Macaca mulatta: one gene and its partner. The main gene of each other region encodes a partner of the protein of the gene in region 2 in a complex. Links are inferred from orthologs where the notes say so. Each region holds a gene or a part of one and is shown on either strand. Other genes may lie near its edges.

The links.
Region 1: POLR3B (region 2) and POLR3GL share a complex: the UniProt entries of both Homo sapiens proteins name them as parts of the RNA polymerase III (Pol III) complex. The link is inferred for Macaca mulatta from reciprocal best matches to the Homo sapiens genes POLR3B and POLR3GL.

What each region holds. Positions count from the first base shown.
Region 1 is NC_133406.1:119,326,761-119,331,539, forward strand, and holds the start of POLR3GL (DNA-directed RNA polymerase III subunit RPC7-like), read right to left. Parts: upstream 2,915-4,779; 5' UTR 2,871-2,914; coding exon 2,745-2,870; intron 2,428-2,744; coding exon 2,298-2,427; intron 1-2,297. UniProt on the Homo sapiens protein: DNA-dependent RNA polymerase catalyzes the transcription of DNA into RNA using the four ribonucleoside triphosphates as substrates. Specific peripheric component of RNA polymerase III which synthesizes small RNAs, such as 5S rRNA and tRNAs.
Region 2 is NC_133416.1:113,670,594-113,674,579, reverse strand, and holds part of POLR3B (DNA-directed RNA polymerase III subunit RPC2), read right to left. Parts: intron 3,157-3,986; coding exon 2,947-3,156; intron 536-2,946; coding exon 377-535; intron 1-376. UniProt on the Homo sapiens protein: Catalytic core component of RNA polymerase III (Pol III), a DNA-dependent RNA polymerase which synthesizes small non-coding RNAs using the four ribonucleoside triphosphates as substrates.

The DNA.
Region 1 (4,779 bases), on a different chromosome or scaffold from region 2:
ACCCAGAACAGGACTGTTCCTGAGAGTCCAGCCCTCTCAATACTCAGGAATTATCTGTTTCCTTACCCCAAACTCAGAGCCCAGGGGGTCAGCTTCAGTGAGGACCTTATCTCTTTTTTTTTTTCTTTTTTTTTTTTTTTGAGACAGAGTCCTGCTCTGTCGCTCAGGCTGGAGTGCAGTGGTGCAATCTCAGCTTACTGCAACCTCCACCTCCCAGGTTCAAGTGATTCTCCTGCTTCAGCCTCCTGAGTAGCTGGGACTACAGGCGCACATCACCACGCCCAGCTAATTTTTGTATTTTTAGTAGAGACAGGGTTTCACCATGTTGGCCAGGATGGTCTCAATCTCCTGACCTCGTGATCCACCCAACTCGCCCTCCCAAAGTGCTGGGATTACAGGCGTGAGCCACGGCGCCCGGCCCCTTATCACTCTTCTAACCTGTTTCTTTTCCACCTAAAATTATGATTTTTTTTTTTTTTTTTTCAGATGGAGTCTCACACTGTCGCCCAGGGTTGGAGTGCGGTGGCGCAATCTCGGTCCACTTCAACCTCCACTTCCCAGATTCAAGCAATTCTCCTTGCCTCAGCTTCCCAAGTAGCTGGGATTACAGGCACCTGCCACCAGGCCTGGCTAATTTTTTGTATTTTTTTTTTTTGTACAGACAGGATTTCACTATGTTGGCCAAGATGGTCTCGAACTCCTGACCTCGTGAGCTGCCCACCTCAGCCTCCCAAAGTGCTGGGATTATAGGTGTGAGCCACCACACCTGGCCAGTGTTTTTTTGTTTTGTTTTGTTTTTGTTTTTGTTTTTTTTTGAGGCAGAGCCTTGTTGTGTCATCCAGGCTAGAGTACAGTGGCGAGATCTCAGCTCACTGCAACCTCCACCTCCCAGGTTCAAGCAATTCTCGTGCCTCAGCCTCCTGAGTAGCTGAGACCACAGGCTCACACCACTGTGCCTGGCTAATTTTTATATTTTTAGTAGAGACAGGGTTTCTCCATACTGGTTAGGCTGGCCTCAAACTCCTGGCCTCAAGTGATCCACCCATGTCAGCCTTCCAAAGTGCTGGCCATTACAGGCGTGAGCCACCGCACCCGGCCATGATGACTTTTTTTTTTTTTTTCTGTCCCTTAGTTCAAAGGCATGGCTGTATTAAGAAATAGTGTGATGCAGTGGAAAGTATGCTAGGGAATAAGAAACCAGGATTTCGGCCGGGCGCGGTGGCTCAAGCCTGTAATCCCAGCACTTTGGGAGGCCGAGGCTGGTGGATCACGAGGTCAGGAGATCGAGACTATCCTGGCTAACACGGTGAAACCCCGTCTCTACTAAAAATACAAAAAAATTAGCCGGGCGTGGTAGCGGGCGCCTGTAGTCCCAGCTACTTGGGAGGCTGAGTCGGGAGAATGGCGTGAACCCAGGGGGCGGAGCTTGCAGTGAGCCGAGATCGCGCCACTGCACTCCAGCCTGGGAGACACAGCGAGACTCCGTCTCAAAAAAAAAAAAAAAAAAGAAAAAAAAGAAACCAGGATTTCAGTATTCTGTTTTTTTGTTTGTTTGTTTGTTTTTTGTTTTTTGAGACGGAGTCTCGCTCTGTCGCCCAGGCTGGAGTGCAGTGGCGCGATCTCGGCTCACTGCAAGCTCCGCCTCCTGGGTTTACGCCATTCTCCTGCCTCAGCCTCCTGAGTAGCTGGGACTACAGGCGCCCGCCACCGCGCCCGGCTAATTTTTTGTATTTTTAGTAGAGACGGGGTTTCACCGTGGTCTCGATCTCCTGACCTTGTGATCCGCCCGCCTCGGCCTCCCAAAGTGCTGGGATTACAGGCGTGAGCCACCGCGCCCGGCCGATTTCAGTATTCTGTTGTTGGTTGGTGCTTTTAATATCCAGATTGTTAAAATTTTTGCTGGGCACGGTGGCTCATGCCTGTAATCCCAGCACTTTGGGAGGCCAAGGCGGAAGAATCTCTTGAGCCCAGAAGTTCAAGACCAGCCTGGGCAACATAAGAACACCCCATCTCTATTTTACAAAAAAATAAAAAATATATAAATTTTTAGAAAATACATCCCCCCACCTACACACAAGAAATGGGATTTTAATATTTAACCTCCCGCTGTCCCAAAACTATCATGAGACTCAAAACAAACCATGAATACTATAATGCATTTCAGATGCAGGAGTAACTATTATGATCTCCCCAGTTAGACAGTATGCTTCCTGTGCCTCTCCAGCCCCCAGTGGTGCTGAGCACAGGGCACTCCCCACGGAAGGCACTCAGAATATGATGCTAGCATTCCAACTGACCTCTCTTGGGGACAGCTGGCCGGATGAAGTAGGGGAGCTGCCTCATGGCTCCTCGTAGCTCCTGCTTCAGTGCCAGGACATATTCCCCTTCCTCTCCTGAAGGCAAAGGTACTGGGCGGAACTCCAAAGGCTAAAGAGGCAGGGGCAGTGGTCTGTTCAGGGAGAAAATGCTAGTACAAATTTAGGAAGACCCCTCCTCCCAATTTAATCTAATATTCCCCTGAGCAGAGGGCTGAAAGAGAATGGGGAGAGTAACATATCATTTTGAAAGCTGGGGAGAAATAAAGGTGGACACTTCTTTGACTGCAAAACATCCCTTGTGCATTGGGAGTATAGAGACAGAGAGGGCCAGTGAGGATGGTTTTATGATGGTCCAGGAGGAATTCAGAATCATGTACAGTCAGCCAGGGGCACATGAGAGTCTGGGAAGGAAGTGGAGAGACTCACAGGGAAGAGTGGAGAAGGCTGCAGGGTGGGTGGGGGCAAAGTATCCCCTTTCCCAATGCCCACGGCCTCCATGTTGAAGGTCAACTGGCCCCGGCCACGACCCCGGCCCCCACCCCGGCTGGCCATGGTGGAGGGGGCCTGGGTGTTCAGAGATCCAGTGAAAAAACCTGATAAAGACAAAAACAAAGAGAAAAAGAAATGTAGTAGAATGGACAGGAAGCCAAGGAGGTACAAGACATTCAATCTTTTATCGCTGGGACATAAAAAGTCAATGTCATTCAACAAATTTTGACTGAGAAGGCACAGTGTCAGAGAGAGAATTTCTGGAAACATAAACATGAATGAGACATGGTCCCCCAAACAGGTCAGATAATTACAATATAGTTTAGCACAAAGGAGAAAGTGCTTAGACCCTCGGACAAAACTCTACATCCCTAAGACAATTTGATGTTTATTCCTATCTGCATTTATTTATTTTTATTTTTAGAGATACTCTGTCACCCAGGCTTGAGTGCAATGGTGCAATCACAGCTCACTCTAGCCTCGAACCCCTGGGCTCAAGTGATCCTCCTGCCTCAGCCTCCCAAAGTGCTGGGATTACAGGCATGAGCCACTATGCCCAGTCACTAACTGCATTTATATGTATAACCTTTGAATTCTTTCTATCTCTGGCCTTCCAAACCTGACCAGGCCCCAATTCAATCCAAAGAAATGCATTCAGCGAAACATTTATTAATCATCTACCATGAAAAAGATAGTGTCAGACACTGTGGGAGCACAGGGATGAGTCATCAATTTCATTGTCAACCAGGGGAAAAGAGACATTACAATCAAATTTTATTTTATTTTATTTTATATTTTATTTTAGACAAGGTCTCTTTATGTCACCCAGGCTGGAGTGCAGTGGTGTGATCATGGCTCACTGTAGCCTCAACCTCCTGGGCTCAGGTGATCCTCCTGCCTTAGCCTCCCAAGTAGCTGGAGCTACAGGTGTGTGCCACCATACCTGGCTCTTTGTTTTGTTTTTTTGTTTGTTTATTTGTTTGTTTTTAAGAGATGGAATTTCATTATGTCAAGTGATCCAAATGTCTCGGCCTCCCAAATTGCTGGGATTACAGGCATGAGCCACCACGAGAGGCCAGATTGATCTTTTTAAACACCACTTGGAAGCACAGAATCTTAGAATTCGGAGGACCCTTAGAGGTCATCTAGTCTAAATCCCTCCCAGTGCAGGACTTCACTCTGTAAATTGTTTTGTTGTTGTTTGGTGTATGTGTGTCTTTTTTTTTTTTTTTTTTTTTTTGAGACAGAGTCTCACTCTGTTGCCCCGGCTGGAATGCAGTGGTGCAATCTTGGCTCGCTGTAACCTACACCTTCAAGGTTCAAGTGATCCTCCTGCCTCAGCCTCCTGAGTAGCTGGAACTACAGGCATGTGCCACCAAGCCTGGCTAATTTTTGTATTTTTTGTAGAAACGGGGTTTCGCCATGTCACCCAGGCTGGTCTCGAACTCCTGGACACAAGTGATCCACCTGCTTGGGCTTCCCAAAGTGCTGGGATTACAGGTGTGAGTCACCACCCCTGACCCTACTTTGTGAATTGTTATTCAGCTTTTGGTGACATTTCCTAAAGAGATGGTATCCATTCTCCCCCAAGACAGTATATTCCACTGTGATGAACACTGATGAATCCAAAGTTTCTCCTTCTACTGAATTTTCACTCTGTCTCTTATTGTCAATCCTGAGGAACCAGTCAGAGGCAGCTAGGATGGGGGAATAAAATCACCAGATGAAAAGAAAACTTAAGAGAAATGATATCCCAGCAGCAATGAGCACACTTAGCACCCAGATCTTGGTTTCTAATACAATTTTCCAATAAAAGGAACCAGGGCTCCCTGGACTACTAGCTGATTCTAGGACAGGGTAGGAAACACACAGGATGAGTCTAGAGCATCTTGAGGTGTCAAAAAGTAAGGAAGTGCTCAAAACAACAACCACACTCACATATTGATGGGGTTAGCTGGGTGCAGTGGCTCAT
Region 2 (3,986 bases):
TATAATGGAGTCATACCTTTGCAGGGGGATAAAATTCTAAAGTAGTCTGTAAGCTAAATGCGTAAATGAAGAATACCAGTGCAGATGCAGGGACACGAACTACTCTAAATATTTCCTTAAAGTGGCTTTTCTATTATTCAAAATCATAACTAGAAAATTACAGTTAGCATAGATTACTGATAGGTAAAAACATAGTGTATAGAAAAACAAACTAGAAGGAAATTCATCAAAAATGACCTCACTGGTTGAGTCTGGATAGTGGTTTTATAGGTTGTTACGTTTTTCTGCCCTTTTTGTCAAATATTCAGAAATATTATGGAATAACACATGATTTCAAAGGTATATATTAAAAATATTTCTTTCAAAAGGCTTTTACCTGGAGAACAAATACCATCTGCATCTAAGATTTCATGTCGCCAGATAGGTTTCCTTGTAGCAGCATCCAACATGGGCCCCATTACTTTATCAAAAGTCTGATTGGTATATCGTTTCAATGTACATTTAGCATTTTTATATACAAGGCAACGCCCAAAGCCTAAAATGAAACCAAAATGGGCATTAGAACCACCAGTAATCCAAAGCTATAAGAAAACATGGATTTGTGCTACTCAGCAATCCACTCCACCTCACTCTCCCCCAAATCCCAAAGCTTCTCTGTATTTGATCATAATCTGGGACCAGTACAAACCAAATAAAAATCTGATAATCTGAAGAAGTGGCACAGGACTTGTCCCCTACCTACTGTCTGTGTAAACACTGGAATCTCTACAACCATTTTCTGCACGGAATACAACTGGAGAAGGGTGAGAGAAATCAAAGACTAGCACTGTGATTCTTTCAGAGGACAGAGCCATAGAATATTAGAATTGGAAAGGGCCTTAGAAATCACCTGCTTAACCTATCCCTTTCACAGGCACTAGGAGTGAGGTCCAGAGAAATTAAGTGGCCAAGGTCATCTAGCAAGCTGGCAGCAGAGTTGAGAATTGTGTTAAACAGCACAAGGCCACTGACTCCCGAGCCAGGACACACATCCTTTTGGTGCACAACTTCTGCTAACCTTCCCTGGAAAGTTTTTCTTTTTAAAATTTGGCATTTAGAGCAAGTTCTAAGCCAGCACGTAAAAACACTAATTTTCCTCCAGAGAAGAGACAGAATGAAAAAAGAACAATCAAATTATTTCAATGGGAAAAATAGTTCTCTGCCCTAAAGATTGGAGTTTAATGACATTTTTAGATTGCATTTATCTAGTGGATGAGGGAAAAGCTGTGAAGTCAACTAACAATCTGAACATTAAGAAAAAGAAGCTGTCTACCAATGGATCCGAAAAATAAAAGGAAGAAAAATAAGCAAAAAGGACAGAAGAAAAACCTTTGGGTGGGGCAAAAAAACTCAACCACTGAATCCCTAAAAGAAAAAAATCCATGAGTTGTAGAGTTACCCAAAACAGCTGTCATTCCTTCAACACTATAATTTCCTAAGATTCTGTGGCTACATTTCTTTCTTTTTTCCCTTTGGCCAAGCAGTTATTTTAAACTAGATTCTCTTACTAATCTCCTCAGGATATATTGAGCCATGCCAGAGTTCACTTAAATAAGAAAATGTCTCAGGATGCAATGCCAGTTATTACTGATGAAATAAATGCATGGCTGTAAAATCCTTCACTTAACAATTTTCCACCAAAAGCAGAAATCTAAGAATGTGACTTTAGAAATCAATCAGGTAAAAGTGGATTTATAAATAAAATCTCAGGGCTGTAATGTAATTTTTTAAATATGAAGGTGACTGTGAGATGAAGTAACAAATTTCTACAACTGGACGTCAGATGAAGACATTTGTGTCTTTAAGCAAGGCCGTAGTCATCATGGCTCCTAGGAAATTGTGTATGGCCATAATAAACTGGGCTCAGAATGCCAGCTGGTTTGGAAACATTTCATGATCTTGAAATTTCATACAGTAGCCATTAACTGCAACATGCTGGAGTGCAATGTGAATCTTAACTGCATGAAATCAAGAACTGTTTTCTTCAAAGTGTAAAGAGACATTTTATTCACAGGTGATAGCTTAAGAGCTAGCGGACAGTAAACTCAGATCATTAAATTGGGTTGCAGAGTTTCTGACAGACATCACAAAGTCTTCAGATTTCCACATAAATGTTACCAGTTAATCAGAAAGGAAAACATCTAGTTTTAAAGCATGGCTGTTGTCATTTGGAGGAAAAAAAGAGGCATAAATTAAGTGTGGCCAACATTAATGCCAAAGACACATGTCTAGGAGTACTATTATGGCTGCCTAGCAACTACAAAGAGGGAAGGGGAAGGCATAGTGGGTATGCCAGAAAGGAAAAAGAGAAATCGAGATTATGAATAGAGAAGTCAGACTTCAGATCAGGTGATGTCTAACAAATCACGAAGTGGTGACTTGCGAAAGTAATTGTCAAAAACAGAAAGAAAAGCAGAAAAACTCCACGCCAGAGTTTGCGGCCGTATATTTTTAACTTTCGTCACTTGGCCAAAGAAGGTACCAAATTATGAGGTTACGCAAATAAGAAACAGCTTTTTACATCCAGATATTGCTACTGCCCTCTCAAACAGGTTTGTTAATAATATATATCACTAGATACAGTGAAAACACATATTTCATATATTGTAATTCCTGCTGTAAAACACATTCTTACGTTTTTTTTCTCTTTGAAGGACTGTCTCACGTAACCAATACAATAACAGAGAAGAAAAATATTCTGTAGTAGTATGTTTAACAAATTATCTCCATATACTATTCATTAAAAATGACAAGAAAGCCAACATCAAAACCCAACCATCTCCTGTTTCTATATCATAAAATTCAAATAACTTGAAATGACATTAACCAAGTGATCTCTACATTAATCATCCCTATATCTAACTCTGCAAAAAGCACCTTTGGCATTAGTTTTGAAAATTCACTTACCTCTGTCTAAAGAGGCCTTGTTTAAAACAAGGGCATCTTCAATATCATAGCCACTATAGCTCATCACAGCAACTGTTGCATTCTGTCCAGCTGGCAGTTTCTCAAATTCTATCAATTCAATGGTTTTTGTCTTAACCATGGGTTTTTGTGGATATGCTAGTAGATACATGAGAGTATCAATTCTGTTTCGCTGGTTGTATCCTATAGTACCTGCATTGATATTGAAGAAAACAAAATACAACATTCTATTATGTGAAATAATAAGGTAGTAATGAAAATAGAGATAAATACATTAACATCACTAATTAAAATGAAGAAACTCTTCAGGTTCAAAATTTCAAAAGCAATACTCTCATGGTGGCTTAACAACTTGTAAAAGCAACTTTTCTCACTAATATTTAAAGTTTTAAAGTCCTACGAAGAAGGAAAAATATACTCAGAGTATATCTTAATCTAAATAATTTAGACTTTTTGGATTTATATTATCCCATTTAAGGGATTTAGTTTCCACTGGTTAACTTCACAATCAACAATTCTTTATTCGGTTCTACCATGTTCCAGGCCTGCTGGGGAGAGGTAATGTAAGATAACGCCCAGTGTTCACATCCAAGGAGCTTATAAAATGGATAAACAGGTATATTCCATAAAAAGAAATAAACAATTACAAAAGTTCTAAATGAAAAAGAATACAGGAGAGAAGGGAAGAAAAAGAATGAACAAAGAGGAATTAAAGTGAGAGCAAGGAAGAGGGGATTATTCATTTATTTGATGATTCACTTATTAAGCAGTTAATAAACATCTACTCTGTGCCAAACACTGGAGATAAAATGGGAAAAGGCTTGGTCCCTTCCTTAAGAAATCTAGGGTACAGCCCAATCAGGGGTGGGCTCTTCCCTCCTTAGCAATCAGTCTTTCCACCTGATTGTTCCTCAGAAGGGTGTTATTGGGTCACTGTCAACTGAACATGAAATCAGAAGGTTAACCCTTTCTCTCATCCCTTTCTCTCATTTCCCCTCATAAACACAGTGGGGTTCATGGAC